Linked DNA regions of Tamandua tetradactyla. The protein of the gene in region 1 purifies or fractionates together with the protein of each later gene. This does not show direct contact. Links are inferred from orthologs where the notes say so. Each region holds a gene or a part of one and is shown in the gene's direction. Other genes may lie near its edges. The genes, in order: ERBB4, WWOX and STAT5A.

Evidence for each region.
Region 2: the proteins of ERBB4 (region 1) and WWOX purify together in Homo sapiens (affinity purification with western blotting; 4 studies listed by BioGRID). This does not show direct contact. The link is inferred for Tamandua tetradactyla from reciprocal best matches to the Homo sapiens genes ERBB4 and WWOX.
Region 3: the proteins of ERBB4 (region 1) and STAT5A purify together in Homo sapiens (affinity purification with western blotting; 3 studies listed by BioGRID, with this or other methods). This does not show direct contact. The link is inferred for Tamandua tetradactyla from reciprocal best matches to the Homo sapiens genes ERBB4 and STAT5A.

Annotation. Positions count from the first base shown.
Region 1 is NC_135329.1:187,875,882-187,883,858, reverse strand, and holds the start of ERBB4 (receptor tyrosine-protein kinase erbB-4), read left to right. Parts: upstream 1-4,774; 5' UTR 4,775-4,880; coding exon 4,881-4,965; intron 4,966-7,977. UniProt on the Homo sapiens protein: Tyrosine-protein kinase that plays an essential role as cell surface receptor for neuregulins and EGF family members and regulates development of the heart, the central nervous system and the mammary gland, gene transcription, cell proliferation, differentiation, migration and apoptosis.
Region 2 is NC_135342.1:72,976,561-72,984,412, forward strand, and holds the start of WWOX (WW domain-containing oxidoreductase), read left to right. Parts: upstream 1-4,551; 5' UTR 4,552-4,899; coding exon 4,900-5,006; intron 5,007-7,852. UniProt on the Homo sapiens protein: Putative oxidoreductase. Acts as a tumor suppressor and plays a role in apoptosis. Required for normal bone development. May function synergistically with p53/TP53 to control genotoxic stress-induced cell death.
Region 3 is NC_135332.1:24,922,344-24,929,651, reverse strand, and holds the start of STAT5A (signal transducer and activator of transcription 5A), read left to right. Parts: upstream 1-4,121; 5' UTR 4,122-4,300; intron 4,301-4,956; 5' UTR 4,957-5,004; coding exon 5,005-5,132; intron 5,133-5,484; coding exon 5,485-5,641; intron 5,642-6,716; coding exon 6,717-6,806; intron 6,807-7,308. UniProt on the Homo sapiens protein: Carries out a dual function: signal transduction and activation of transcription. Mediates cellular responses to the cytokine KITLG/SCF and other growth factors. Mediates cellular responses to ERBB4.

The DNA of each region.
Region 1 (7,977 bases):
TTATGTTCAGCCATTCCTCCTCAGTATTAAAAAAATTAAGGCTTAATCGTGCATATAGAAAGAAAAAGCACTTACTAAAAATGAAATGATCTTGGGAGGGCCTCTTGGTATAATAAATTAACTAAGGTAGTAAATAAATTTCTTTAGTTAATGTGTTGATGCATTTTTAAAATTTTGAAGTTTTAAAGGTATTTTTTTTTTTGCTTTAAAAAATTAAATGTCACCAAAATATGAAGTGAAATCTAGAAACCAGAGGGTATGGAACAAAGGTGAATTTCAAGTGCTCAGTTAAAAAAATAAAATAAAATAAAACGAAACTGTTTCTGTCATTGGCTTGATCATCACAATAATGAACTTGATCAGTACATATCAAATTTTTCCCTTGACTAATAACATGAAGAATTCGAAGTCTTGAGTATTTCACAGTAATATAGTATTGCGCTCATTTGGATATTTCCCTAAGGCTATTTAAAATGTGTGTCTGTCTCTGTGTTGGTGGCCCAGATGGAAACGTATGTGGGGGCGAGTTGAGAATGGGTAGAGTAAGGAAAATAAGAATTCAAGTGCACGAAAATTATGACTAGCACTTCATAGGTGGTGGGTAAGTCATAGTCCCATAAAGTCTTTGATTTGGGACATTATATGTATCTACTTCTTTTAAAGATGAGGAAACTGGCACAGGCATATGAAGTGACTTGCTCAATTTAGCAAGGTAACTTAGATGTGATAAAGAAAGAAAAAAAAACAGAACCCACTATTTATTTTTAAATGTTCTTGAGAAGATAACCGATTTATCTATGATAGGATCCCATTTTCTCTTCTTTGTTGATATCTGCTCAGATTTATATTAATGGCCAATAATGGCAAAATATGGACAGTAGCAAGCTCTAAGCTTACTTTTAGAGAGGTTTCAGAATCAGGCTGATGAGTAGAATGAATTAGGAAAATTGGGGACAAAGTTAAGGATCAGATTGAACTTTGAGTTCATTGTATTCTTTTCTCCCACCAGCAGCCTTCTGTTACTCATGACATCAGAACTTACTCAGAAAGCTATCATTAATGGAAGAAATGAGGCAGAAAGGGAGATATGGGAAAGCATTATAGGACAAAGCCATTTTAATGTTGGGATTACACTTCATACAAGGGAAATCATGAAAAAAAATGGGAAAAGGAACTCAAGAATATGGACTACATCAAGATGTCTTTCTCAAGGGGCAGGCTGCCTATATGATCCCATTCAAGTTGGAGAAATTCTTTTCCCATTTCACACTGTTCTTGTTTCAGGGAACAAAACAAAAATTGAAGTAACTTAAGGAAAATGGGAACTTGAACAACTAGCCACAAGAAGAATCCTCTTTGGACCCATCTGGGTTTTGTACCTTCCAAATGGCAGCTTCATTCTTTCCACTGCAGCCTGGTAATGCCTGTGTAGAAGGAAACATAGCCAAGCCAGTTTCAGAGTTGTTTTTTTTTTAATTTCTAAAGCTATCAGTGAAAGACTACGAGCTATTTCTCAGGGAAGGGACTCAGGGCCAGTGAACATTTGTCACTCAGTTAACAGTGACCAAGTGCTTTGATTGGTCCAACTTATAACTTGGCAGTGAAGGCAAGGTTGTTCAATGGAGGTAGATCCAATTTAAAAATGTAGAACTAAGGTAGGGTAATTCCTAGAAAAGGGTATAGCAGACAACTCCAAGTGATCATCTGTTATTTATGAAGTGCTTATACATACATACATGCTGGTTAGTCTTGTATTTTCTTTTGTTTTTCCCCAGGTAGCAAACAACAGCAACACATTTTAGTTAACTCAGTTAATGGGAATAAATTATAAAGATACAGAGAAAAGTGAAGAATTACAGAGAGCCCATCTCAGCAAGCGTACAACAGTCCAGCCAGTATATCCTTCTTTCCACATCAGGTAGTAAGTGTTTCCGAATCTGGAGGGCCTTTCTTACGAAGATTCCGTTGAGATTGGACACAAATGAGAGAGACACACATGATTCTTCCTCATGGTTTCTACTTTCTCATCTTTCCAACTTGCCCCCACACAGTACCATTTTCCTGTCTACATCTTTAAATCTCACATTGAAATTATTTGAACTAGACTCTGATTGGTAGAGCAGGCACCAGGATGCTTCTATTGAGTAGAGCTCTCATTCCAAATCATTTTATAAGCTGCTGTTCAAATACTCACTTTTGGCAAGTTACCAATCATTATTTCAATCAGAGACAGGAAAATGGAGCCAAAGCAGAAGAAACCGAGTAGTAGAGGCAAATCATGGTGTGTTAGGTATTTTAACTGGTAGACATCTTTTATGGGCTGTCTAGTACCCACAAACATAGACAAAGTTTTTTTCCCAATCAATAAACATTAGTTAAAAACCCTCATTTGCCAAGAGTTATTCTGGAAGGTATGGATGAGACCAAGACATACAAGAGAGTTTCTGTCACAAAAGAGCTATAAAATTGATAGGGAAGGAAAACTATCAGAAGGAACACAAGTAAAAAACAAACAAAAACTCCAAAACATTCAGACTATTTAATTTTTCCCACAATTTAAGTTAAAATACAAAATTAATATCTTGCAACAGAATTAGCATCAGAAACAAGACTTTTTTTTTTTTTTAAACACAGAGATTTAAACATTTCCAAAAGCAAGAAGCTTGTTTGTTTTTGTCACTTAAGTTTTTATCCTAGGGACAAAATGGGAATTTTAGAAAGTAACTTTCACAGAGGAGAGGTGTCTGAGAGTCATCATAAAAATCAGAAGAGGATTTAAGAAAAAAGGACTGAGAAGAGCTTGAAAGAAAGAATAAAAAAATAGAAGGGGGGTAAAAGAAATAGAAATCAAAGATGATCCATACCAGCAGTGAGCACAGTTTTGCTGCAATCTATACCATTCTGGGCAAATCACCATCATCTGCTCTCAGCTTAGCTTCTGCTCATCCTGGGCTGCTTCTGAGCCTCTTCTCAAGGCTTCCTATTTGCTGTGGGCCTAAGAGAGAAAAGGGTTCGGACTTCTGGGTCGCTGCTACTGTTCCTGTCTGTTCTTAGCTCCATGGAGCTTCTTAATGGGCTTGACTATAGATAAAAGGTATGGAGGAGGTCTCGAATGATGAGTGAAGAGGGAGGGAGGCTGATTTTTAGGCTCTCCAGATACTATTTATTTGTATATTTGCTGTCCCTAGAGAAACCAAAAAAAAAAAAAAAAAAAAGAAAAAAAGGGAATATAATTCATAGAATGCCTGTGCAAATAGCAAACCAATAACCTACTACCCCCAGGAGGTTCTGGACCCTATTCAGGATACAGTTCCAGAGCTGCATAAGGCAACGGATACGTAGCCTGCTATGACCTGGTCCCAAGATATTTCAGATCCAGAGAAGCCCAGAGACTGCCATAGCCAGCGCTGATCTGAGGAGTGCACATTTTCAGTGTGAACAAGGAAGGAACTTAAACCTGGGTCAGTTATATCTTGGCATGGTCTTCTTAAATCCTTTCAGGCTGAATAGTTCAGGCCTAGGACAATTTCTAGTCCATTAGGGCTAAATCAATAGCTTTGGAATAGAATCTGCATAATGAAAATGAACCCAAACCAAGTTGTCCTAGAGTACAGGGAAAAGCTAAAAAGACCCCTAAAGTTTAAAATTCAAAGAAAGTGCTTCTACAAATCTGTTTTGCTCAGTGTCAGTTACCTTGGGTGGGAGAGGCTGCATAGTCATAGTCGGGGAACAGGGATGATAACACCCCAGGACTACCTAATCTGTGTTGATTCCCAGTTATCATACCGAGGGGAGGGAGAGGCAGTTTTGCCCCCAAGACATGCTGATTTTGCTTCTATTCTAGCGAAGGTGCGGTCTGTGGATGAGTACCTTAGGGCAATGGTGAAAATGGTGACATCTTTAAAAAAATAAAAGAAAACCAAAAAACAGGCTCCGTTGTCTGCCACTCCGCGGGCCAGCTGTCCCTGGTGTCTGCTGGGGGAGAGAAGGGGAATGTTTCAGTCAGTGGCCTCGGGTAAGCCCTTTACGTTCGTCTTCCCCCGCCCCACCATCTACTCCCTTTTGCTGACAGGTGTTTTCCCGAACTCCCGAGGCTGAGGATTTTGGGGAGTGGCTGAGCCAATAAGAGTTCCCCGTGGGGGGGCGGGAGAAAGGGCGTGGCTAGTTGGGTCAGAGCAGGGGCGGGGTTTGAACTGCTGAGCAGTGCCGGCCTGGTTGCGTGGAGGGTTTTTTTTTTTTTCTTGTTTTTTTTTTTTCCGGGAGTCTTATTAATTTCTCTGAGGGGCTGCAGCTGGAGACTGCCGAGCGTTGGAAATGACGCTCGGAGCTTTAATTACCGCAGCCGCCGGACAAGTGTGAGGAAAGCTGAGAGAAAAAAGGACAGGATCGAGGGTGAAGCAAGACGCTTCCCCCCTCTCCGCCCCTTCCCTCCCGATTTGGACTGGAGGTGCAGGGAAGCAGAAAAAGGAGCCGAACGTAGCCCGGCTGGTGGGGAGAGAGACCGGAAACCTACCGCCTCTTTGCAATCAACTTTTTTTGGAAACCTTTTATTCCCCCCTTCCTTTTTATTGTTGACCAACCAGCGCGAGAGAGAAAGTGAGGAGGGAGCGAGAAAGCGAAGGCTCACACGGGAAAATAGCTGCACAGTCCGACCCGGAGCAGCACGCGCACATCCTCACGCCCCCCCCGGGTCCCCGCCCGGGACCCGCGCGCGCAAGGACTCCCTCGCCGGCCCTCGCAGCCCGCGCAGCGCGCGCGCCGCCAGCCAGCCCCGCTCGGGCCCCCACGCGCGTCGGGCTAAGGGATCTCCTTCGCGCCCCAGAGAGGGGATATGCCATTTGGACATGTAATTGTCAGCACGGGATCTGAGACTTACAAAAATGAAGCTGGCGGCGACAAGACTGTGGGTCTGGGTGAGCCTTTTCGTGGCGGCGGGGACCGTCCAGCCCAGCGCTTCCCAATCAGGTGGGTCGCGGTTCGTTCTTTTCGCGCTCCAGCTGTTGAACCTGCTGCCGCCGGCTTGGCTGCCTCCGGCGGCTCCCTAGCTCTCTCCGCGCATCCCGAGACCCGCCAGCTTCCAGGCGTAGAGGGACCACCCGCCCGTGGCCGCTTCTTTGGGCTCTCGGTCACCCCTCTTTCCATCCCCAAACTTGCCTTGTGTGCGTATGTAATTTATCGTGAAAAATCACTGCGCGCCCCGGTCTCTCTTTTTCCTCTTTCCTTTATCACCCTCCTTTCTTTTTCGTGCATAAACGGGATCCCTTCTGGTGGCGCCTGTTGTTGAGGACGTGGGAGACCCCCAATTCATTCAGAGGAGACTCTCCTGTCCGCGTCTTGGCCCTCGAGGCAAGAAGCCTAGGAGAAGCGCGCAGCGTGGGAGTGACTGAGGGGCTGGGGTCCCGGGGCGCTTGCCGGGCCGCTTCTGAGCCGCGGGGCAGTGCACAGTGAAGCTTCGAGAGCCGAGCTTTGCACCTGTGTGTGCTGCCGGTGGGCACTGCGCCCCCAGTCGCCCGAGCCTTCCCGGGTCAGACCCGGCTAGAACCCGGACTGGGCAGCTGGAGCGCAGCGGGCGGGCGTGCCTCGGCCCAGGCGCGGGAACCCTGGGCCTCTTCGGCCGGCGTCCCGGAGTCCCTGGCCCCAGTGAGTTGAGGGGCGCTTGCTTGCCAGCCTGACCTCTTTTTTTTTTAAAAAAAAAAAAAAAAAAAAGGGCTTGGCACGCTAGAGTCTGGAGCCCGGACTTCAGGTCGGTTGCTACGTTTGGCTCCGGGAAGAGTTCTTCCTGTAGTTCAACTTGCTGTTGGCCGGAGTCCCTCCAACTTCTCTGTTTACAGCCCGACTGGGCTGTCGAGCCGGCCGGTGGCGCGAATTGATTTAACCCCCGGAGGGCGCGCGGACTACGCTGGGTGCACGACCACTGTTTGCTGGGGAGCTTAAGCCCCGGGTACCTAGACAGGCAAACGCCTAAATGACCCCCGAGGCAGCGCAGTGGGGCTGGCGCTCCCGGGCGGGCAGAGCTTCTGATAGCACCTGCAGTGCGAGGGAGCTCAAAGTTTCTGACACTTGAGTTTCCTGTGGATGAATGCGGGATAGGAAAGGACTGAGGAGAACCGGTGTCTGACTTGGCCCAAGTGGGAGGCGGAGTGGGGTGCTTTGGAGAGCCGGGGAGATTTCCGGATCCATCCGGGGCTGGTCGCGAGCGTGTGGGAGGCGGCTTGAAGAGATAAAGCCACCTGGGGTGACGATAGGGAAAGCTTTGGGCCTCTGGAGCGTGTCTTCCTGACCTCAACAAGAAAACAGCGCTCTGTAGTTTTCCCGCTCCGCCCCCGCCTCCCCCTCCTTGCCTAGTAAATAGCAAGTTATAATCACTGAGGCTTTCAGAATGACCTTCGAATGGCACACGTGCGCCGTTTGTGCTGGCCATTTGCACCCTCCCAATTACTCCGCAATTCTTCATGCATACCAGGTCCTGCGCTCCAGCCACCTCCGGAATTACACACCAACACGGACTTGAGATTCCAAGCGGCCTCTTAGATACATCCCTTTTTATCTCCCTCCTCGCTCCGAGTCCCTTCATATTTCCCCTCAATGGGTTGATTATGCACATTGACCCATTCAAAAACTGTTGCGACTGACTGACATGCAGGCTTAGCTGAGAAGAATTTCTACGAGGCAACCTACTGGGGGCTGCATGGTTCAGCCTCAGCCGCGGGGGGACCCGGCTCCGAGTCCGCAGCGATTTGGCATCAACTGTGCGGCTCGCGGGTTGAGCTATGCCGAAAAAAACCTTTTCAGAATTTCTGCAAGGAATGTAATCCAAATTAGTTCTGCAGCTGTCCTCTTCCTCGTCTCAGGAGACGCCGGCTCGCGCCCTAGCTGGTCCCGTCCCTTCTCGCTTCCCGGAGCGAATTGTCAGACCCACAAGTGAGCCCATTTAGAGCGCGAGGATTAGCGTGCCATTGTTGTTCCGTGTGTGACTCTGTACTTGAAATTCTGGGGGCACAAAGGCGAGTCTCACTTGTTCAAAACACAAAGTGATAAAGATGAAAGGGCCGCACAAAGAAACGCTCTCGGGTGCATCCCTGGCATAATTGCGACACGCATGCTGGGGTGATCCACTGGAAACTGTAAATGCCCTTGGGACATTTTTTTTTTTAATCTACCCCCACCCTCACCCCACCACACCTGGCAGGGAAAGTTCAGCTGATTTTAACATAGTGCTATTGTAAAACCAAGCTACTGTCTGGAGTGAGATTGAGGTTCACACTGTGTGTTTGTGGTTGCGTTTGTGTGTGGCCGTATGTGCCCTAGTAAATAAAGTATTGCGCGTCTCCCCTCTCGCGGTTAGCAGTCAGTAGCAGTTTGGAGGAGTTTGTTTTGGTCCAAATGAGAAATTAAGTACGGATAAGTAAACTAAGCTGCCAGAGGGCGACAAGATGTTGAGTGAATTGCTTTTAGATGAAACAAATTAAGGAAACGAGGGAAGACAATCTGCTTCTCGCATTATTAGACACGCTTGGAGTTCGGGGGGGGGAAAGTAGCATATTTTTGAAATGCTAATTTCTTAAGCAGAAGGAATGCACCTTATTTACAGCTCTATGTGAATGGAATAAAAATATAGGGGGAGTCTATTGTTTATATCTTTGAGATTTTCTTAAAATAATTGTAATTGAAGACGATTTGCATCTATTTATTTATTCTTCCTTTGCATGGCAGAATATTCAGCTTTAGAGAAGACTTTTTAGTGATTTTGAAGGACTTTGCCTCATCTCCAGAAGTTTATTTCATATAAAAATGTTATAGCCAAAGGCCCTTCATAGTGCAATTATAAGGCCTTTACCACCCAAAGAAATAATTGTAAAGTTTCCGTCTTCTAATCATTAACAGTAATCAATACCACCTTTGTATTGAAATAAAATGTGCAGTAGTATTGAAGTGCCCACTCTTACATATCTGTATACCATATAACATGCATGTTAT
Region 2 (7,852 bases), on another chromosome or scaffold:
TACTTTCCCCTGGTATATAAAGAGACTTCCTACCTTCTCCTCTTTCTCTGAGCACTGACATTAGAAAACTTGTATTAAGATCTCTGTTTTTTTTTTTTTTGAAATGTATGTAAATATTTTTTTCCAAGTTAAATAAGTCCCTTCGAATTTTGCAATATAGGAATGTTTCAAGAACTGGAGCCATTTCTTTGAAATGTAATCATCAAGGAAGATAGTGTACTGTTCTTCCAATTTCCTGGGAGATTAGCATAACTTCAGGTGGAGCTTGGCTCCAAATTGCAAACTTACCTCTCACAGTGAGTCTAAATGATGTAATCAGAGTGATTTAATTATTGAGCATGCACAGATTAATTACACGCTTAGTCACAGAAAGCATGTAAGAAAATGGAGGCCTTAACATGATGATGGGTGTGATTTTTAGTATCATAATGACGTGTAGGCGATGGATGGGTTAAAATCTAAGCTAACATGCATGTCAAGTGGGCCCATTTTGGTTAGATTCAGCTCTGGTGATCAAGATAACTTTGAACTTGGGGTGGGTTGCTTCTGGGCTGACCCAGGACCCTTCATTAGTAAACATTAGGGGCTGTCTCAGTGATCACAGGACTCCAAAGTTGGAAAACCAGATAAAATGTGAGGGTCAGTCACATCTTTTTACAATCACAAGGGCACAAGATAAAGGCTATGCAATCATTATCAGAGATCAAGGCAGCTGGTTTACAGTTCAGAGATGTCAGGTATTTCCCTCTGTCTATTCTCATATACCAGGAAGTAAAAAAAGGAATATCTATATAATGATTCAGTAATCATAATCATCCCCTAAATCTTAACTTCTTGGTTACCACTCTTTGTATGTCTGTTGATCTTATTCTAACAGACTGAATTAGAGACAGAGGGTGTCTCATTTTCCTGGTTTCTTACAGAGACGAAGCATAAATTCCCCCATTCATTGTTCTTGAATGAATAAGTGAATACAAACACACTTTCCCAAGTAAGAGCACATTGACTAGGAGAGATTTTCCTAAGAATCCTGTTCAGTTGTCCCCCTTGCTGGTTACTTTCTAATGGAAAGCTTATCAAAAGAAGAGCAAATAGGCTTCTTAGATTCATTAACGTATTGACTTGGGCACCAGAAAAATCAGGCTTAATTCCCAGGGAATGGTGATTTAAATTAAATCAGGTTTGCAGATTTTTTGGGGGTGGGTGTCAGGTTGGGGGAGGAAATGAACATCGTCATGGTTAATGATGATAAAGGAAAGAAATGTGGTTTTAGGAATGCTACATTAAAACTTGGTCCCACTGCATACATTTCTTGTTAGTAAAGCCAAATTGCTTTCAGCAAAAAGGGATCAATCATATGTTAATAAATTGTAGGTATCGTAGAAGTAATCAATCAAAAGGAAAAGACAGTTCCACTATGGAAATGCTTAAATCAAGTCCTGAATTGGGCATCAGCCTTTAAGTCCCTGGGCAGATAGTACCATCTAGTGTGCAGCTGTGTAACCACACCTGGATTTTTTTTCAACCTTCTCACTATTGCGATCCAGTAGATTTTACAAAACTAGGCCACTCTTTAGGCTTTCTTAGGGGTACATTTTGAGGAGCTTAGCTCATTCCCAAACCCAAACACCTCAAATCTGTTATAATTGTAGTATATAAATCAAGCAGAGTTCACCTACTAGGAACAAAGTCAAAGCCAAGTGCAAGCTGAAGTTATGGGGCCGGGAAGGTTGCAAAATGATAAATAAACAGAGCAAGTCAGTAAGGAGAGAGGGGGAGATTTAGCCCATGAGCAGAGAGCGGGAAGCAAGGGATCAGGAAACTCATGAGAAGAAAAAACAAAAACGGGGCTGACCTTGGGCTCCCCTGTGTCCTGTTAATGTCCTAGTTCAGCTCGTGTGCACACTCCCTGCCCATAAACTCTTGCTCTTGAATGAATCTCTGCAGCTTGCAATCAATGAGCCTGATTAAAACACTGTTCGTTTTAGTGAATCAAAATCTATAAATCCTAAAATCTGACATGCTATTCCTCACAAGTCTCCCAAATGCCCATATATTTATTACAGTGCAACAAATAAGATGTCAGAAGAGGCGGAATAAGATGTCATGATAATCCTTTGGGCCATTATTGGGGTTTAAGCCCCCTCACTTGGACTTTCTGCCGGCCCAAGGCTCTCTGGTGGAGACAGGCTAGTGATGGGACAGGCAGGTGCATCTGACAGTGCTACAGAGCTCTGTGATCAGGGCTTGTAGTGACATCAACAGGGTCCAAGTACCAACCTGTAATCTACTGACAGAAATGGGCTCCTGGATGCCTAAAGTAAATCTCAGTGTTTGATTCAGCAGTTAGTAACTTCCTGGCTTGGTTCTCGACTGGGCCAATAGTGTCAATGTCTGGCGACAGTTTTGGTTGTTACAAATGAGCGAGGGGTAAGCTCCTGGCATCTAGTGGGTGGAAGCCAGGGATGCTGCTAAACATCCTATTGCATACAACAGTCCCATGTTGGGGAAACATACTTAAAAACAAAATCCTTTCTCAACCTTGAAAGGATTTTGTGTTTTTCATCAAGGGAAGACAAAGACCAGACAAACAATTTTATTATTGAATAATCATTAAACGAGACTGTGATGCATCACAGGCATTCTGCTAAAGAGATTGTAAAGACAGAATTCTTACTGTATTAGATAGCTAAATGGACACAACCCATTATATTCCTGTTTTCAAGATAATGTCTTCATATCTGGAGGTGGGTTTTGCAATTTGGGGTCTGGGGACAACTAAAGATAGGTCCATCTGCCCCCTGGAAACTTTTTCAGTATTTTCTTCTCTGATTATCACCTTTCAAAGAGATGGCTCTCAGGTCCATGAGGAAAGACTTCCCATATGTCTTATTAAACTGCAACAAATAAGATGTCAGAAGAGGAGGAATAAGATGTCATGATAATCCTTTGTTATAAGACTGGCAAAAGGCTTATTTGGCATTTGACTTTACACCCCCACAACAAAGAATTATCCCGTCCAAAATGTCGTTAGAGCCCAGGTTGAAGAATCCCGGTGTAGAAGGCAGGAGAAGCCCTGGAGTAAATACTAACATGGTAGGAACAACAGAGGATTGACCCAGACCTTTAGAATTCTATCCAGACCATGGCTACCCAGTTTGCAGAAAGCACCACTTTAAATCATTATCTGTGGACTGATGCCAAGTCACAGGCAACAGGTGCTTGGAGAGGCTCAGGCCAGGGCAACCCAAGATATTTCTAAACGGTCCTTGAGAAGCTGAGCACAGATCACAGAGAATGATTAGAGAAGTGGAGGCTAATCGGTTGGGCTCCATTCATCTCCCTCCCCACCACCAGGGTCTTTGTGACCTAATTTCCTATTCAAGGCAAAGGAAAAAATGGGTTTGAGGGAGGGGGAAGGAGCTAAATTGGGCTGAACAAAGAAGTAGGAAATTAAAGGTAGCATATTTTAGTGCCCATGGATTTGGAAAACATCATGTTTTGATAGGCTTGAGACGGTATAGCAGGCTTGCTAAAATTAAAATTGGCTTTCGTTAACTTAGCTTTTGATTGGTGAAGTTGAAAGGAAAGTGAGTGTCTCCTTAAGAACTTACAGACAAGGAATCCTAAAGCAGTATCAGTTCAGGTCTTGAAAAGGACAAAAAGCAACACTTCCCCCCTTAAAATTTATATATTTTTTTCTGGTGGAGCCTTGCATTCTTCTGTGCCCTAAGTCAGGAAAATCAGTCAGCAGATTTCCCTGTAACATAAGGTTGGAAGCTAGGTTCCAGTTGGGAATATTCTGGAAAACTCCTAAGGCAAGACCAAGTTGAAGTTAGGCTTCAGCATGCCAGCACTCCAAGAGGACTCCAGAGAGTCTGCTTTGTAAACTTTCTGTAAAAATTTGTTTTTAAATAGGTTGACTCGTAAAATACCATTTTTTACTTATTCATTTCATTCATTCAATAAACTGCTAAGTTCTGACACTTTATTCAGTTAGAGACAGAAAGAAGCATAAATGTGGTGCTGTTGTTTTAATCAGGAGCATACAGATAAATGAATAAGTATAATACAGTACAGGTTCTCAGTTGCCCCAAATCTCTGGTTCTGTGCTTTCTAGCGTGCATCCTTGGGTAGTTAACTCGCCTTTTCGAGTTGTGCCCTCCTAACAGAGTTGCTGGATACGTGAAAAAGATAATCTATAAATTCCTGGTTCTGGACAGGAAATTAAACACTTGATAACTGTTAGCTCTTATTATTGATAGAATCACGCTGGGGCTGGAGGGAAACAACTTTTCTAGGACTTGGTTATCAGGTAAACAGAAATTTGCATTTTTAACGGTTTCCAGGTAACTTATATGCATAACAAAGTTTGTGAATCAAAGGAAGGCGGAGGCAAAGAAACCACGATTACTTTCCTTCCTTTCTGCCTCACTTTCGCTCTATGGGGCCTGGACTACATTTCCCAGGATGCTCAATTGTTGGGGACTCCTGCAGGATTGGCCAGAGCAACGCGGAAGTGATTACGGGTCGCCCAGCAACGGGTGGAGTCCTGGCCCGTGACTGGATGTGCACGTCCCTTCCCGGAGGAGGAGTGATTGAAGAAGCTCGGCTCCACCTCCATATTCCCAGAGCGTTCTCCGTATCTTGCTTCCTACCGAGCAGCAGGGCGATCTCCTCGGCGCTTTCACCGCCCCATTCTCCAGGCCCCGCCCCTTTACGCTGGTAACTGCGAAACAGCGGAGACTGGAGTGCGGCTCTGGGGCCGCAGTGCGCAGGCGCGAGCTGTCGGGCGCCCTTGACGCGCGCGGCGCTCTGTTGAAGTCTGAGTTCCTGGACAAGGAGACTCTGCTGCGGGCGACGCAGCGAGTGGGTGACCGAGCACCTCCTGTCCCTGCCATGGCAGCTCTGCGCTACGCGGGCCTGGACGACACGGACAGCGAGGATGAGCTGCCGCCTGGCTGGGAGGAGAGAACCACCAAGGATGGCTGGGTTTACTATGCCAAGTAAGGGGGCCGCAGTGGGGCCACCGGGCCTGGGGACGCACCTGGAACCCTGTCGGCCTCACGTCCCCGAATGCTCCCCTGTCTCCGGACGCCACCTGCGCAGGGAGGGAGCGCGCAGACCCGCCTGGGCGCGGGCCTCCCGCACCACCTTTGGCGAGGGCCGTGCGAAGTAGAAGTGATGGCGAAGGAGTTTGGACCAAGGGCTCCGAGGGTCGCAAGGAGGGTCTGGAGCCCTGGGTCGAGCGTGGGTAACTTGGCCGCGTCCAGGCGCGCCCTCTGCTGTTCAGGAGGCAGCAGCGCACTTTGCAGAGATGCACAAACTGGCCTTATGGAAAAATAGCAAAACAACGTGCAGATGCCCACGTCCCTGTGGGGTGCTAGGAATATGGGTTTTTTTTTTGTTTTTTTTTTTTTTTTAACAAACGTCCTAGATAGTTCCGCTGTCATTTCCTAGGAGAATTTTGGAAACACTAGCAGAACCTTCAGAGCTGGCTCAGTCACTCTATGAACTTGGGGGATAGAACACTCACTCTCAGTTTCTTCATCTGTAAAATGGGTCAGTGTGAGTGAGGGTTAGCTCAGGCACTGTGCCCAAGGCATTTAGCAGAGCACTTGATAATACCCAGTTAAAGCTAATAAAAACCAGTGAGGGCTCAATAACTTTTAGCCTTTCTTGCTGGTTCTGCAGCCGCCACAGATTAGATATTAAAATTTACCACTTAACAGGGAACCTACCAGAGTAGACCCCCGACTTGGGGAACCTGCATTTAAAAAAATTTCCAGGTGAAGTGGATTATCACCCTACTTTGAGAAAGTGGATATAGATAAATAATTTTCCAACTTGTAGAAAGCTTTTGTAAAAATACCTTTTCCTGGGAATCACTCCCAGAGATTCTGATTTAAATTGGTTTTGGATAGGATTCCTTCCCCTCATCCCCCCCACCCTTACCTCATGTTGTAAATCACCTTAGGTGATTCTGATTTACCCAAGGGTGTGAATCACAGCTGTCTTTTGTGGCCTGCTAGAAAGACATAAAAAAGACCGTAGTGGCTTCATGCATTCGGAACACATTTGGGATCTTATTATGTGACAGGCCCATTGCTGGGCTTATACAGAGATAAATAAGGCCCTTTTGTCATCCTTAGAAAGTGCCCAATCCTGTATTGCCAAGTGCCGAGATAGTAAGATAGTCCAGTGCAGTGCATGTAGGAGGAGCAGCCTACCTAGCATGAGGTGGGGGAGAGGCAACATGTTAGGCCAGTGTACCTGGGAGAGTTGGCCCCTGAGCCATGCTGTCCAGAAAAAGTGGAGACAGGAGGGCAGCATAGGTAGAGGGAACCGTGAGAGCAGAACCCCCCAGAGTATGGCTTGTCCAGAGACCTGGGAGGTGTGTGGTGCTGGGCTGTGAAGGGCTCAGGCACAGGAGGAAGGAACCACTTTGTGGAGGCATTTCTGTGCCCTTCTGAGGAGTTGAGCTCTGCCTTCAGGATCCAGGGTGAAGCCATGAAGTGACATCTGGTGTGTGCGTTTAGAAAGATGATTTCTGATTCTGGAGAACCAAAGGGAAAATTCTTGCAGCAGGGAGTCATTAGGCTGTTGCAGGGGTCCAGGCACTCCTTAACCGGGTACTTACTGTTTGCTCTGTTCTGAGCTCTTTGCACAAAGGATTCCTTTCATCTGTCCCAGGAGACCTTCCCTGACTGAGCCCTATCCCTGTACCTTCCACCCCATCACCTGTTTACCTGCTTCATGGTACTTAGCACGATCTGTAGTTATCTTAATACACTTCCTTATTTACTCACTGTCCTGCAGATTGTAAATTTTATGAGAGCAGATACCTTTTCTTGCTCGCCTCTGTATTCCAGTGCTTAGCATCTAGAAGATGTAAGATATATACTCATGTAGTAAGCAAATTAATTCATTTAGCGCAGGTTTGCTGCAGGCCTGCAGGGGATGGAGCCCTGTTGCTCCGGGCTGGCTCTCCTAATGGGCGCTGGCTCTTTGTGTCTAAGGAAATTATGCTGCCTTTTTTTTTTTTTTTTTAATACCTTAGAAGAACATGCTTGAAAGTGATGTTCATGCAGTAGAATATAAATTTAACTTTGAATCTGTGGTCTAAATTAAGATCACTATTATCTCTTTAAATTACCAAAAGCTTATTGAAAGGAAAGAAAAAATTAAAGAAAGCCTCTATTTAAGGTTGGTAAGATAACACTGGGGATATGTTGTGGTTTTCTCTTTGTTAAAAAGTAATTTTAGGGTATAATGAAAAAGAATACCTTTTAATTAATTTTTTACACATAAGAATTTATTTTAAAAAAAGACTTCCGTGTGAAAGACACAGTTCTAAGTTCGTCAATCATGTTAACTTCTTCAGTCCTCTTTATAACCCCAAGAAGTGGGTGTTGTTTTTATCACCATTTCACCAATGAGGAAACTGAGGCACAGGGAGGTCAGAGGCCTTCCCTAAGGGCACCCTGCTGGCAAGTGGGAGATCCAGAAACCCAGGGCTGTGGGGCTTCGGACTCCATCCCCAGAAGATGTGGGGCACCCTCAGCTGGGCCCATGGGCCATCCCTGGGGGCAGCTGTGCCCTGAGGGGGACCGCTGCCAGGATCTGCCGACATTTTCAGTGGCCACAACTCTGGGTGGAGGGAGGGTGCTGCCAGTATCTGGTGGTCTAGGCCAGGCGTGCTGCCCCCTATCCTGCATGCAGGGCAGCCCTTTAGGAGACACCCAGCTCTAGGTGTCAGCACTGGCCGGGTTGGAACCTTGGTTTAAGGCACTTTCTGTGAAAGTCAAGAACATGGGGTGATAACTTTTTTTTGTTTTTGACTTTCAGCATA
Region 3 (7,308 bases), on another chromosome or scaffold:
TGGGCTGGCTACTGCACAAAAGAGTTCTTGTTGGGCTAGAAGGAGGAGAAATGAGCTCAGTGGGCAGAAGGGCCCAAGTCTTCATGGCTGAGGATGAGCAGCCAGGCCAACCCAGGCTGTCCAGGCCAGCAGCCAGTCCCACTCAGCTGCCCAGCTCAGCTTGCATGTGACCCACCTTCTCAGGGCCTACCCCTGCAATGAGGGGGATGGACAAAGGGAGGCCTCCTTCCTGCCCACCTCATTCGGGAGTTGGGTAGGAGACGGGTACTTGGTACAGACGAACCTTGACCAGAGAGAACTCAGCCTGTGAGCCTCTCCCACAAGGCAGCTGGGCAAGACGGCTAAACAAAAGAAGGAAGGACTTCCCCCTCCTACCCACCCCGTAACCCCTCCCCTCACTCTGTTCCCAGAAATGGAGGCTAGTTAATATGCCTCAGGCAGGATGGCCTTGTGTTCTCGTGATGGCTTCATTGTAAACTGGCTTCTCTGAAGAGTGGGGAGGTGGCCAGGGACACAGGAAAGAAAGAAAGAACGGGCATCGCCGGGAACCTAGCCGGTGGCATCACCCTTCCCCTCTCCGTCACTAAGAATTCCTCACTAAGCAACACACACACCCTCCCTAGGTCCTGCTCTATCTTTGGGGATAAGAATGGAGGGGATCATTTCTACCAGGAGGTACCAGGGTAGGGCAGGGGTGAAGCAGGTTGTTTAAGAGCCCAAGGGCTGCTGCTCTCCCCACTCTGCTGGGATGTCCAGCTGCTTCCTGGATGCCTCCAGGTTTCCTAAGCAGGCCTGTCACCGCCACCCCACCTCCCCTCTGGCTTCCATGCAACAGGAACTCTTCTTGAAGAAGGGATGTACAGCAGAGGAGACAAAGGCGCCTCTGTACCACGTCCCCCCACCCCGTAGGATGGTCATGTCAAGGTGACCTCAATCTGTTCCCCCCAGGGTGAGGGCATCAGTAGGGCCTTCTCAGCTAACCTGGTCTCCAAGGAAAAGGCAGAAAGGGGATCTAGGATAATTCTTCCCTTCCTTCATAAGCTCAAACCCACCTCCACACAAAACCCAGGACAGAGTAGGAGCAAGGGCTGGGGTAGGGCTGGGGGTGTGAAGCTCTGCACCAGAGAACAATTCTGGGCTAGCCCAGCCAAAGAAGACGTCCCTACTCTGTAGGCGTCTGCTGGGGCTGGGAGAGGAGGTACTCTGCCCATAAGGCTGGGCAACTTGGGTCCTGGGACCAACTGCACACTAACTAGTCAGAGAGCTTTGGACTGAGCTAATCAAAGGGGACGATTCTGGCCCTGTCTAGCTCCAAAATTGTCTTAAGGATCTGTTGAGTTGAAGAGTACAACCATTTGTGTATGAATGTACACAACGCATGAATTGTGCCACAATGCAGTTCAAGGTACGTGTATGGCATGCTAGCTATAGACTAGGTTGGGGGTTATTATTATTCCTAATGAAATATTCCTAAAGAAAAGATTTGGGGAAAAATCCTTCCTCCTTCCCCACATAATGGGGATTAGGGGCAGCTAAGGGGCAGAAGGCCAACCTGGGACCCCAGCTCTGTCCAGACCCTAGGCAGTTTCTGATCTTCTTAAACCCCATCCCCTGTGCCTCAGTTTTCTCCTCTATAGACTGGGCACCTGAAACTTACCAGGGCGCTTTGTGGTGGGAAATAGCACAGACCAAACCTGGGTACCAAAAGCAAAATGAAACCCCAAATTTGACATTTCCAGGTAGTCGTTTTATCCAGAGTCATGACCAGTTACCTCTGGCCCCAACCGGACTGTGACACCCTTTCTTCCTCCATCCCCTTGGGTGACCTCTGACCAAAGCTCCTCCTCCACCCCAGTGAATCTCAAGGTGAGAACAGAGGTCCAAAGAAATGGAGAGAAACCCAAGCAGACCCAAATAGAAAGTCAGACAGAGACCTAAGGAGAGAGAGAAAGAATCAAAGCAAAGGGGAGAAATATGCAATGAAGGGCACTGGGATTCATTAGAGACAGAAAGACCAAGTGAGAGAAGGCCAGAAGTCAGGGGTTGGACACAAATCATGGGGTGGGGGCTAGGGAAGCAAGTGAGGACTCTGAAGGCACTGGGGCACACCCTTTTAGGCCAACCCATAATCCCTCCTATTTTGTTCGCTGGCACCTCAATGCCAGTTTTTTAGGATCCAGGACTATCCACGCCCCAGCCAAGCCAAGCCCAACCCAGCCAGATGTTTGGTGGGTGGGGCTGCCAGCTGGGGCAGCAGCCTAACAGGCCCAGGGGGAGGCAGCTGCCTAGAGAAGTGGACAAGCAGGGCCCCCACCCTCTGAAGCTGGCAGCCCTGCGTGCCTGGAGTAGGAGTGGGTTCATGGCAAAGGGGCTTTCTCTGCCCTCTAATCTTAGCTCAAAGGACCTTGGGAACCCAAGAAAATGGCCCCTATGACTGATTTCCCCCCCAGTGAGTGGGCTGGAGGGCACAGGTGCCACTGAATGGGCCCCACCCACTGTGTGGCAATGGGTTTGGATCCGCCACTGCCACTAACAAGTTGCGTGACAGTGGCCAAATCACTTCCCCTCCCCGGCCTCTGTTTCCCCATTTGTAAAATCATCTTGATGGTCGCTTTCAGCTGGACACATGGCCCTCATTCCAAGTGACCCTCTCTCTGCATGTCTGACCCTCCTAATGCCAAATCCATTGCACAGGGGGCAGGGAGAAGTGAGGCAGAAGGGCTGAGATTCTCCTCCTTTGGGCTCTGCTGTGGAACATCTGCAGAGTAAGGTTTCCCCAATCCTCCACGCACCCCCTTACAGTTTTCAATTCCTTTCCCCGTGACCTTGCCAACTAAGAGACCGTGACCACACATGGAAGGGGGGTGGGAGGACCTAGACATTCCGGCTTCTCAGTTTTTCTCTAAATAAAGAGTAGAAGTGGGGGAGGCAGTGATGGGACCAGGGAGAGGCAAGAAGGCAGAGGGGAACAGGGAATGGGGAGAAAAGGGCAGACCCAATAAGGGATCAGGGAGGGAGACAGATGAGCACGATTCCCCCCAGGATATGTGGTCTTGGCCCAGCGAGGCTGTGAGTGGGCAGCCTGGCCGGCCCCTCCCTTGGTGCTGCCAATACCAGCTGCCAGGCAGAGGGGAGGCCCAGAGGAGAGGGAAGCTGGGCAAAGGGGATGGAAGGCTTCCAATTCGGCCTTACCCAACCCAGTGGGCCCTGGAGGGGGGGGGCGTGCACTCGAGGGGCCTGTGACTGAGGCTCTCCTGGAGGTTACTGGATGCTGGGGCAAGGCCTAAGGGAGGCTGTGAGGGACTGTGAGTGGGTCCAACACAACTCCTCCCCGGGCCTTTCTGAAGGTAGGAGACCCGTCAGATGTGGCTGCGCTGGGATGAATGGGGGTGGGGCATGTGCGAAACGGTTTGTGGTTCATACTCTGGGGATGAAATCTAGGCTCTGCTCCATGCGCCCGGCATGATCCTGGGAAGCCCCTTCTCCCTGGACTTCAATTTCTTACCTGCAGAATTGCGGGAGGGGGGTTGAAATAGCTGTCAGGGTTTTCTGCTGTTCCCGCTACAGGGGGTGGGTCACGGGTGAGAGGAGCGACGGACGGCGGCGGGGGAGGTGTGTCCCCCCCACACCCCACTCCTCCGGAATCCCCAAGTCCTTCCCCTCACGGGGGCTCTGTCTCTAAGGTCACTAAAGCTTTGCCTCCAGCTCACGGGTACACACACACGCCACATATTTTTTTAAAAATCTAGACTCAAACGATGACAAACGCCGGAGCTGGAAGACACCTCCAGCTGGGCCAACCCTTCCCTCCTCCCTCTTCACAGCTAAGAAAAACTGAGGCTCCGGTTTGGGATTTCCAGAGGCCGGGGTTTCCCGGTCCTCCCACCTTCCCCCGCCCCCACGGCGACTCCCGAGCCTCGCGCCCGCCACCGTCCCGGGACGCTCCCGCCGCGCCGCAGGCGAGAAGGACTGGCTGGGGCTCCCGGGGGACGTCGCCGTCGGGGCAACCCCCACGCCCGGCGCCGCCCCGCCTCGCCTCGCCGCCCGGAGCCCGGAGCGCGGCCGCCGCTGCGCACTGGCGGAGGAACGGGCGACCGAGGGCGGAGGCAGGGAAGGGTGTTGGCGAGAGCTCGCGCGCTGTGTATGGTCTAGCGGAGGCAGCTGACCTTTGAGGAGGAAATCGCTGCTCTCTGCTCCTTCCTGTAGTAACAGCCGCCGCCGCCGCCAGGAGACCGCGCCGGGAGCGAGAGCCGCGGGGCTGAGAGCCGGCGCCGAGGCCGGACGGCTCGGCCCTGACCAGGTGGGTGGCCGGGCGGCGCGTCCCCGGCGGCGCGCGCGGAGAGGGGGCGCTCGACTCCTGCCCCGGCCCTCGGGCCGGAGGATCCCGGGGCCCGACGGGCGGGGGACGGGGAACGGGTCCCCGGAATCGAGGGGGAGTTTTGGCGCAGCGCGCACCTCGGACGCTGGCGGAGGGAGGGGGCATCGTCGCCCACGGCGGGGAGGGAGCGCTGTTGAGCTGGACGGGAGGAGCAGGTGGGGCGCAGCTAGGGGGCGCAGCCGAGGGGGCGGAGCGTCAGTCCCCCCAACCTGCTCTGCTAATAACCCCAGCCACGTGCCCGCGGGGACCGGGCCGTCGAGTGGGAACTGTCGCTGGCGCAGCCCTAACTTTGGGCCAGATCATCCGGCCTTTCTAGAAATTGGAACTCAAGGTCCGAGGCAGCTCCGGGTGGGGGGATTCTTGCAGCCCTCCCCAGAGGACCCGAGAGCGTTCGCTGCAGAGTTTCTCTTTCAGTTTCTAGCTGTCCCCCTCCCCCTCAGCGGGGAAGCCCCAGTGGGGCGAGGGGAGAGGAAGAGGGGGAGGTACCTGACTCTTGAGAGCCCCTCCCCAAGCCTCAGAGTTTCTTGTTGAAGGGGAAAGCTTCCCTTCCCCTCCTCACCATCTTTCTTCCCACACAGGAAAGCTGTCTGTGGAAGACGAGGGACCCTCTTCCTACGTGCAGGGACATGGCCGGCTGGATTCAGGCCCAGCAGCTGCAGGGAGATGCGCTGCGCCAGATGCAGGTGCTGTACGGCCAGCACTTCCCCATTGAGGTCCGACACTACTTGGCGCAGTGGATTGAGAGTCAGCCCTGGTAAGTGCCCCCTGCCCTCTGCCTCCCTCTGCCAGTACCTACGGCTCATGCTCCTTAGCCTCTGGCTCTGCTCTTTGTGGTTTGGTATGAATCTGATCGTGTCTGTCCCTCTCTGTGCGGAAGGTGCAGGAAAAGGCGGTGTCCTTGGGAAAGGGGAACAGGGAAATGGAGGCCTGGGAGGGGAGAGGGGATGTTTCTAGACTCTGAGGCCCATGGAACTGCCAGGAACAAGTTTTCTGTGTCCAGGAGCACCCTTAATCACAAGCCTGGGATTTCCATGTCTTTTTTGGTGCCCCATCTCCATGCCCAAGTAGGCACCCAAATAAGCTTCTTTCTCCTGCCCTGCCCCGAGGGATGCCGTGGACCTGGACAATCCCCAGGACCGAGCCCAGGCCACCCAGCTCCTGGAGGGCCTGGTGCAGGAGCTGCAGAAGAAGGCAGAGCACCAAGTGGGGGAAGATGGGTTTTTACTGAAGATCAAGCTGGGGCACTATGCCACACAGCTGCAGGTGGGTGTGCACTCTGGGTCGGCTTGGGGAGCCAGCATCCGCCTTCTCTTCTCTTCCCAGCATCAGAACCCTTGGGTTTTTTCCTGGCCTGGCCACTGACTCACCATGTGACCCTGAACTTTTCGGCAACTTTTTTGTTCTTCAATTTCCCCCACCCCCTCTTTCTAAATCAGACCTGTCAGGTTCCTTGAACATAATTCAAAGCAAGGAGTGGGGAGGGGGCAGTGTTTGGCCCCAAGAGATGGGGGATGTGTGAAACAGCATTATGGACAGATCAATGAACTTAAGTGACATCAGAAGGGACGGAGGTAGCCTGAATCAGGAGTCCTCTGTTGGAGGATGGAGGATGGTACATTCTAGAAATACGTGGATGAGACAACCAGACATCCTTCTTGGGGCTCTTTTAAGTGAGGAAGAGCTATTGAACTGGGGTGAGAAAGGAGCAGAGTTGTCCTAGAGACAAGAGCTGGATAAAAGGGCCTTGAATTGAGGTTTTAATGTAAGAATGGAGCTGCTTCTTCACGTGGGGTGAATATGGGGAAAGAGAGGGTGTTTTTTAGAAGCAGGAAAGGGGTTTGGGTGGTAACTGTAGTTAAGCATTTATTGGAACTCGGTTGTATTTCTTAGATAGCCCTTCTTAACTATCAGCAGTAGGGTGCTAGGGAAATAAAAAGTCTATCCCAGAAGAGGAAAGAAATAGGAAAAACCTGGGGGAGGGGGGAGCAAACAGGAATCCAGGGCAGGAGTATGGTGGAAAGGGCCTTGACCTTGGTGTCAGATGCCCTGAGTCTCAACCTTGAGTCAGCCACTCACTTACTCGTTTGTTTCTGGACAAGAACTTACCCTCGCTGAGCATCAGTTTTCTCCTCTGTGAAAAGGGGATAATTTCAACTTATGTCATAGGGTTGCTGTGCTGGAGAGTCAAAGGAGTTGGTAGATTGGAAGTGCTTTGTATCTTGTGGGCTTCTAATTATGGCTTCCCTGGGAAGGCCGAGGCAGGGACTGGAGAAGAGGAAAGGATAGGCATGGCTAGAGCAGAGGGTGGTTACTGGTGGCTACTGTTGAATTTTTTCAGAACACGTATGACCGCTGCCCCATGGAGCTGGTCCGCTGCATCCGGCACATTCTGTACAATGAACAGAGGCTGGTCCGAGAAGCCAACAATGTGAGTGTCTCATGGGTATAAGGAGAGGAGTTGGGAAATCCTTCCACATGTCTCTATCTGGAGAAAGTGTGTGTTCACATATCCTTGCTCCCCACTGTATCCTAACACCTAGCATAGTCCTTGGCGTTGGGTCAATGAATGAATGTGGAATGAGGGATCATCATCGTTAGTAGGAAAACCAGGTGTCACTGGGGACATGTTGAATTTTAGTCTTTCCTGAAAGTAATTAGATGGCGCAGTTTGGGATACCTCTGGTGGAAACCAGATCTGAAATAGAAATGTCTACTGTGCTTTATGAAGATGCCCTAGTCTCCGCGTTACCTGTTTTTCCTCCTTCTTTCTCTCTTCCACCCCAATTCTGGCAAATTATCATCCTTCTATCTCAGATGACCCTTCCTTCTTACTCTAGATTTGGGACTGGGGTCTATAGTATTGGGGTTCCCTGAGACTGGAGGTTACTCCCGTCCTCACTGCCCAGCTCAGTGCTGCTTGTTATCTCTGC